Macaca mulatta: one gene and its partner. The protein of the gene in region 1 purifies or fractionates together with the protein of each later gene. This does not show direct contact. Links are inferred from orthologs where the notes say so. Each region holds a gene or a part of one and is shown on either strand. Other genes may lie near its edges.

Evidence for each region. The genes of interacting proteins can lie anywhere in the genome.
Region 2: the proteins of DNAJA1 (region 1) and TUBA1A purify together in Homo sapiens (affinity purification with mass spectrometry; 3 studies listed by BioGRID and IntAct, with this or other methods). This does not show direct contact. The link is inferred for Macaca mulatta from reciprocal best matches to the Homo sapiens genes DNAJA1 and TUBA1A.

What each region holds. Positions count from the first base shown.
Region 1 is NC_133420.1:66,342,949-66,346,595, forward strand, and holds part of DNAJA1 (dnaJ homolog subfamily A member 1), read right to left. Parts: intron 2,074-3,647; coding exon 1,941-2,073; coding exon of another isoform or gene 1,935-1,940; intron 1,494-1,934; coding exon 1,266-1,493; intron 1-1,265.
Region 2 is NC_133416.1:56,351,421-56,355,552, forward strand, and holds the start of TUBA1A (tubulin alpha-1A chain), read right to left. Parts: upstream 2,918-4,132; 5' UTR 2,828-2,917; coding exon 2,825-2,827; exon of another isoform or gene 2,269-2,824; coding exon of another isoform or gene 2,266-2,268; intron 621-2,265; coding exon 398-620; intron 276-397; coding exon 127-275; intron 1-126. UniProt on the Homo sapiens protein: Tubulin is the major constituent of microtubules, a cylinder consisting of laterally associated linear protofilaments composed of alpha- and beta-tubulin heterodimers.

The sequences.
Region 1 (3,647 bases):
CGTTTATTTAAACAAGTCCAGGTCAGGTATGGTGGCACACACCTGTAGTCCCAGCTACCTGGGAGGTTGAGGTAGGAGAATCGCTTGAACCTGGGAGGGGAGGTTAGAGTGAGCCAAGATGGCATCACTGCACTCAAGCCTGGGCAACAGAGCAAGACTCTATCTCAGGAAAAAAAACAAAGAACAGAAAACATGTCCATTAGTTTAAAAAATAAACATGACGCCGGGTGTGGTAGCTCATGCCTGTAATTCTAGCACTTTGGAAAGCCGAGGCAGGTGATCACCTGAGGTCAGGTGTCCGAGATCAGCCTGGCCAACATGGTGAAACCCTGTCTCTACTAAAAATACAAAACATTAGCCAGGAGTGGTGCTGGGTGCCTGTAATCCCAGCTACTTGGTAGACTGAGGCAGAAGAATTGCTTGAACCTGGGAGGCAGATGTTGCAATGAGCTGAGATCGTGCCATTGCACATTCCAGCCTGGGAAATGAGCGCAAAACTCTGTCTCAGAAAAAAACAAAAAAAACCATGAATTTTAATGAGACCCAATTCTTCACCTAACTCCCTTCTCAAATCCTTAAAAATATGCCTATCCCTTGATCTAATAACTCTTAATTAGGAATGTGTTCAAATAACTTCATTCTAATTTTTTAAAAGATGGAAGAACTATGGTTTAACAGCAGAGAATTAAGTTTGGAACACTATTCAATCATTTACAGGACCACTGATTTCAAAAAATGATCCTGTTTATATTAGATGAGGAGATTCCTTATTTTCTATTAGTAATATACCAATATGCAAAATTATGTCTGGATGGAAAAACATTATATATTACGCTGCTAAGATCTATTTCTGAGTGATAGGATCATATATAACCTAACTAAGAATGGTTTTTTTTTTGAGATGGAGTCTCGCTCTGTTGCCCAGGCTGGAGTGCAGGGGCCGGATCTCAGCTCACTGCAAGCTCCGCCTCCCGGGTTTATGCCATTCTCCTGCCTCAGCCTCCCCAGTAGCTGGGACTACAGGCGCCCGCCACCTCGCCCGGCTAGTTTTTTCTATTTTTTTTTGTAGAGACGGGGTTTCACCGTGTTAGCCAGGATGGTCTCGATCTCCTGACCTCGTGATCCGCCCGTCTCAGCCTCCCAAAGTGCTGGGATTACAGGCTTGAGCCACCGTGCCCGGCCAAGAATGCTTTTTAAACTATAAAATGTTAATAATAAATCTGCCACAGCATTCAAGACTTCAGAATAAGTAGCTCAGAACTCACCTTTGTCAATATGAACCTCTAGAATCTTCTTCTCTCGAACTATCTTCCTTCCGTTGCAGCTTTTACATCTATCTTTAGGACTGATCCGCTCCCCATGGCCCTGGCACTCCATGCACACAGACTGAATTTGCTGAACCATTCCAGGTCCTATCTGATGAATTCTTATTTGCATTCCAGTACCTCGGCAATTGGGACAGCACTCTACTGCTCCTTTCTTACCTCCTCTACCTAAATGTAAAAAGAAAATTGAATAACGTATGAATTAGTGTATACAGTAGTAAATGTTTTAAGAAGACAATTCCTAAATGCTGTACTTTTAATATTTTCAAAGTCTGATGGAATGCTACCCTCTGAATATGTAACTGATGAAATCATTTTAATTAGTTTTATTCTCATTAGAACATACTTCATTTCCAGTAAATAATTTTACTTATTACAAAAAAGATACCAAGCTAGCTTGATCCCTATATTTAAAATATACACAGAAAATAGTGCTGTTATTTCTTTAGGTGGCAGGTTTTCAGTCGGTTTTCTTTATATCAGCCCTCCCCTCCCCCAAAATCTACGTAGTGTACGTGAGTCAATTTTACGTATCCAGGAAGTCTTAGCTCCATTTTCAGGTGTCATATTAAAGACGTTTAAAAAAACAAAAAACAAAACAAAAAAAACCCGTACCTTCACATTTGTCACAAATCACATTCTTTTGCAGAGCCAGTTTTCTTGTTGCACCATTATATAAGTCTTCTAGGGTTACTGAGAGCTGATGTACAACATTTTTGCCTAAAACAAAGTATTTCTCATTACAAATCTGTTTGATGTTGAATCTTACTTATTCGTGCTAAAGGCACTATAAAGAATGTGAAAGGATAATAAAAAATGAGCCTCACAGGGTACATCTGTTGACTACCTACTATATACACAGAATATCCTCAAACTGTGATGTAATCACAGATGAGAGAAAATCAGGTCAGAAATTAAATATTTGCCTAAGGGCATAGACATGACCATCTTGGAAATATGGTAAGCAGAAACATTAACCTCAAAGTCACCTGAGAAAAACCAACGTTATTTAAAAGGGCACATTTCACAATAATCCAAACATTCATTTCTGTCACAATATATTCTTTGAAGCTTTCACTTCGTACCGTATTGAGCAACGTGACCAATTACTTCATCCAAAAATTCTGTAGCACAGTAAATTCTCATTAACCAAGATTGGCCAGGGAAGTTGATGCATTTATTGAGTTACCACAGAAGAGTATCAATTTCTACTTCTTCCTGATTTAGTAGAAAACAGCCCATTTACTGCTGGGCCAGCACCGGTTGTTTTAAAGGCCAAATTTCTCATACCTTTTATACTAGCATTGCCCAACAGAACTTTCTGCAGTGATAAACGTTTCATATCTGTTCTATCCAACACAGTAGCCACGAATCACATGTGCTTTCTTTAGACTAAGAAACTGTAGTTTTGTTTTTTTCTTAAATTAATGGAGCCACACATGGCCAGTGGCTCCTAAGGAGTGCCTTACTTCACTTAAATCAGAATGGGAAATGGAAGGTCAAGATCTCATAAGGACACGGAGGTTAGAAATATGAAGTCACCTGCTAATAAGTTAGTAAGTTCCTAGCTAGTGATCCTTCCACAAGAACTTATTCACAATATTACTGCATTTCCACCAACTGAAACAAGTTCTCAAACTCGTTTCTGTTCATGCCTAATGAACATTTTTACTTTCTAATCAAGCATGAAATACCATTAATTATGTCCTTCTGCTTATAGCTCCACCTTTAGTTTTGGCACGCTAAAATCTAGCTGCCCTTATTTTGTACAGTGTTGAGAATATAAAGAAGGAAAAATAAAGCTTCTAGAGCTTGGGGAAGCACATTTCCCCAAAAATAACCTCTCAATATGATCTAAAGCCACATAAAATAGCTTGCCAATGTTAACCTGCAGGTCAGTTCTTTGTAAGGTAAATGAAAAACCACCACTACTTTTTTGTGGACAAATTCTACCAATTTACTAAGCAAGTGATTTGGATTATGCACTTTCTTTTTAAGGAGTTTAAATATCTTAGAAGCTCAAAGTGAAACTTAATGGCTTGGCCATTCATTCTAAAACTGGTTCTGCTCATAGCCCTTGTTTGTATTCACTATACTGGTAATAAAGTGAGACTAATTTCTCTTGACTTAAACACTTTATTCCTATGAGCAGTATTTCTAGAGCCCATAGGCCACTTTCCTGATAAATATATTAAATACATAATTTTGACACAATAAAGCTGAAGCAACATTAGATAGGTGGCAGGCAACGAACCAGTTTTCAGCCCTGGCTCTGTTGGTTTGCTATATGAGCTTGAAGACGTTTTATGTTTCTGAACTTTA
Region 2 (4,132 bases), on another chromosome or scaffold:
CACAAGAACGACTCATTCCACTCTTTATTAAAATAACAGTTCAATTCTGTTTGAAAAAAAAAAAGCAGTATTTCAAATGTGTTCTTTAGGCTCATTAATTTACTTTATTCTTGAAAAGAAACATACCAGCTTACGAATTCGGTCCAACACAAGGTCAATGATCTCCTTGCCAATGGTGTAGTGCCCTCGGGCATAGTTATTGGCAGCATCTTCCTTGCCTGTGATGAGCTGCTCAGGGTGGAAGAGCTGGCGGTAGGTGCCAGTGCGAACTTCATCTGGAGAAGGAGGGAGAGAAGGATGGAGGGAGTGGGTGAGTGGGTGACTAGCGGAGCCCCCCAGGACAGACCTCCTGTCCCAGCATCCTGGGATCTCACTTGGGTTACTGAGGTCAACTCACCAATGACCGTGGGTTCCAAGTCTACAAACACGGCCCGGGGCACATGCTTGCCAGCGCCCGTCTCACTGAAGAAGGTGTTGAAGGAATCATCTCCTCCCCCAATGGTCTTGTCACTTGGCATCTGACCATCGGGCTGGATGCCGTGTTCCAGGCAGTAGAGCTCCCAGCAGGCATTGCCAATCTGGACACCAGCCTGGCCAACATGGATGGAGATGCACTCACGCTGTGGGAAGGAAAAGTGAAAAAATTGTAAAATTAAGGCGTATTAGCATTTCAAACTTTTAGTAAACTTTTAAAAATATTTCTAATAATATACAGATATTTTTCAAAATTATTTGAGGTCACATCCCTAGCACGATACAAAGATTAAGGAAAATGACCTGCTGCAAATGCTGCATATGGGTGTGGTCTGAATAATGATGTCGCCTTGGCCCTGTTCAGCACATGGTACCAGCCCATTGTGCCTACTACCATGCTTGAATAAAAGACTTTTCATATTTAAAAAGTATTCAGTATTCAAAGCACAAATTTTGTAAAATGAAGTAAATTCAATTATGACATAATTGGGATTAATTTTACTGCTTTCTTCCCTTTTAAATAAAGAAGAAAGTTTCTTCTGAATAGGACTGACTTGATATTATAACATGGACATCTGTACTGCAGCTGAGGCAAGAAGCCACACCCTTCTGCAGTCTGTCTGCAGAATCCATCAATACAAGGGGTTTAGACAAGGTCTGCTTCTGCCTTCTGCATTGCTGCATTGCTGTATTTGCTGTGCCTGGTGCTAGCCTGTACTGTCTGCTACATTATTTAACAGAGCAAGCTCTATTTCCAGCAACTGCCTACATGATCTCATTGTGCTGTTTTGCCAGTTTTCCTCCTCTGACCCCGCCCGGGACCATGTGCCTGAATTGAAATGAATTAATGAAGATGCACTAGAACAAAAGACAACGGGATGCGGAGTATAATTCTTTGTCTGTAGCAATTTCATTCCTTTTTTTAAAGAAAAAGGTTTTTCCAGATCTTCTCCACTGTAAAAGCTGAAAAATTATCCGTATCTTAAAACACACACACACACACACACACACACACACACACACGTTCCTAAGTTAGAAACAAGCATCACATGAAAAGGTAGCAAACAAAGAATAAAAGCCCAGTGGAACGATAGTGAAATATTTATTTAAAACAACAAAATAGTATTTTAATCCTGAGATTCTCTACCCACCACATAATATTCATATTCTTTGCATCCAATAGAGGTTTTCTTCTCTGTGGTCTTTAGGGCTACCACTTTCATTGTCTATTCGCTGATGTGGTGGGGGCGGGGCGGAGGGGGGCGGCGGGGAAGGGCGTTTCCCTGGTCCTGACCATCAGGGTACCCTGGGGCTCACAAAGTGGGCTTTCTCCCTCGCTGAACGAGCAGCGCGCGCACACACACACACACACACACACACACACACACACACACACGACCATCAGGGTACCCTGGGGCTCACAAAGTAGGCTTTCTCCCTCGCTGAACGAGCAGCACGCACGCACACACACACACACACACACACACACACACTTCAGTCGGTCAGGGCAGGGCGTCCCCAGACCAGACATTAAAGAGTTTGTCAAGTGAATTGTGATTTTGCTCAAGAGAAAAAAAAAAAGGTCATCTTAATTATAATAGCGAAGAAAACCCTTTTGGAGCCTACAGTTCCGCAATGATGAAAAGTTTTTTTTAAGTCAGCTCCTGACAGAGGAGGTTTAGTGAGGGCGAACCCCGCCCAGTGGCTCCAACGCCATAGAAGCCAGAAACAAACAACCCCGCCCCTGCGCCGCCCTGACACCCGCTGCCGGGGGCTCCAGTAGAAACTCACCATGTTTCCCCGGGAATGTGTGGTTATCTTTCCAAAACGCCAACGACCGCGAGGGGTCTTCCCACGCTAACCCCAGGCTGCGCTTTGTTCCCGTTCCCCCTCCCACATCCCCCAGCTCGCCCAACGCCCCCGCTCTTTTTGGGTGCCTCCTCCTCTCCCGGTCCCCAGAGAACGAGGCGAGACAGAAAGGGGCCCCTCGGCGTCTGCGAAACCGTGCGCACAGACACTGGACCCAGCCGGGACGCCCGAGACCCCTCGGTTGCGGCAGACGGGCTGCCCGCGACCCCGAAAGGCTGTAGGACAACACAGGCGCCCAGGCGCCGCCTTTGTTCCTCCCCAGCGCTCTGCAGCGCCCTGGGCGCAGTCCTGGCCGGGTTCCTGCACCCGCACTGCGGCGGCGGCGGAGCTGGAGGATTTGGGGTAAAGCTAAACCTCACAAAACACACCACCACCCTCGCCCAGAGAGCTTACGAAAGAAAAGAGCTTAAAGATTTTCCAAGCAGAGCCTGGGGGCGCTGACTCCACCCAACGGCCACAAAGAGCCAAAGCCGATTCTCACCATGGTTGCTGCTTCGCGACTGCAGAGCAGATGGCGGAGACAAGGAGGAGAAGGTTGTTGCTTCTTACAGCGCGACTCTTAGGCGGTCGATGTAAGAGAACCTGCGGCACATGGGCGGATGCGGCTCCATATATACAACTCGGTCACCATGGGGATGGGCCGGGGCCTGTTCCTGTTGGTCCAGACCCCCAATCTGCCCAGAGAAGCCAGGACAGGAGACTGGTGATTGGTGCAAACGACGTGGGATGAGGTAATCTCTCCCCCACCCCTTTTTCTCTAGCATCCGTAGACTGTTTGCATCCTTTAGACAAAGAGACCGTGCAGAAGCATTCTGCCGAGCATCCATTATGGGGTGGGGTCGGGGAGGGGCGGAAGAAGAAAGGGGACTGGGGTTGGAAGACTTTATGTTGCTTAAACCCCAAAATGCAGTTAAAATTATCTATGTGAGGTTTTTTCCCCCTACCCTTAATAACAGATTTATGTTCAGATTAAATATTTAAAGGAAAATTACTGCCAGCCCCTCCCTCGCAGTATATTAAACTCGACTACATTTTGTTAGGGTTCAATATCTCTAATTGCTTTAAAAATAAAGTGGGAGAGAAAATGGGCGTAATGCTCAAAACGGTCTGGGTAATTGTGATTTTTTTTAATTTAAAAAAAACATTTAGTCATACAGTCATTCAAAATGGCTTCTCAGGTTCAACTAACTTATTTTCAGAGCTTCTTTTGCAGGCACATGCACACTCGAATAGCTAAATAAAACTGGAAGATGGAAATAATAACCATACTAAATAAAGAAGCGAACAAATAGTTCTAACATGGCAATAATCAACAGCAAGTGCACGTAGAGTAGTTATAATAGTTTACTAGAGGTATTCCTTTATGAGAAGTCTATGTAACACATTTTGTGTGGTGCATTGTCCTTTGGAATGAATCATCTTTCCTGATATAAAATTGGGAAAATACAAGGAGAAATAATTGAGCTCAGAAGTTAGTACTACATGTGTGCAGTTACATATCTGCACTGGACTTTTGTCTGGAAAGTAACAAGCAAAATAATAGTAATAACCAAGACACCAAATTAAAAAGAAGAAGAGAATAATATAATGTAAAAAGAAGACTATTTTGCAATGTTGCCTCCATCTACAGACAACTGTGAAACATCAGCTCAATAACTGCATTTACTTTTTATGCAGTTCTTATGTCAATTTGGTAAATATCCTCCTGCGAGTGGGCTTCTGACTGTGGGAATTTTAGCCAGCCTCACACCCTTGCTATTCAACTAGAGACTCTGGTGGTTGCTCAGTT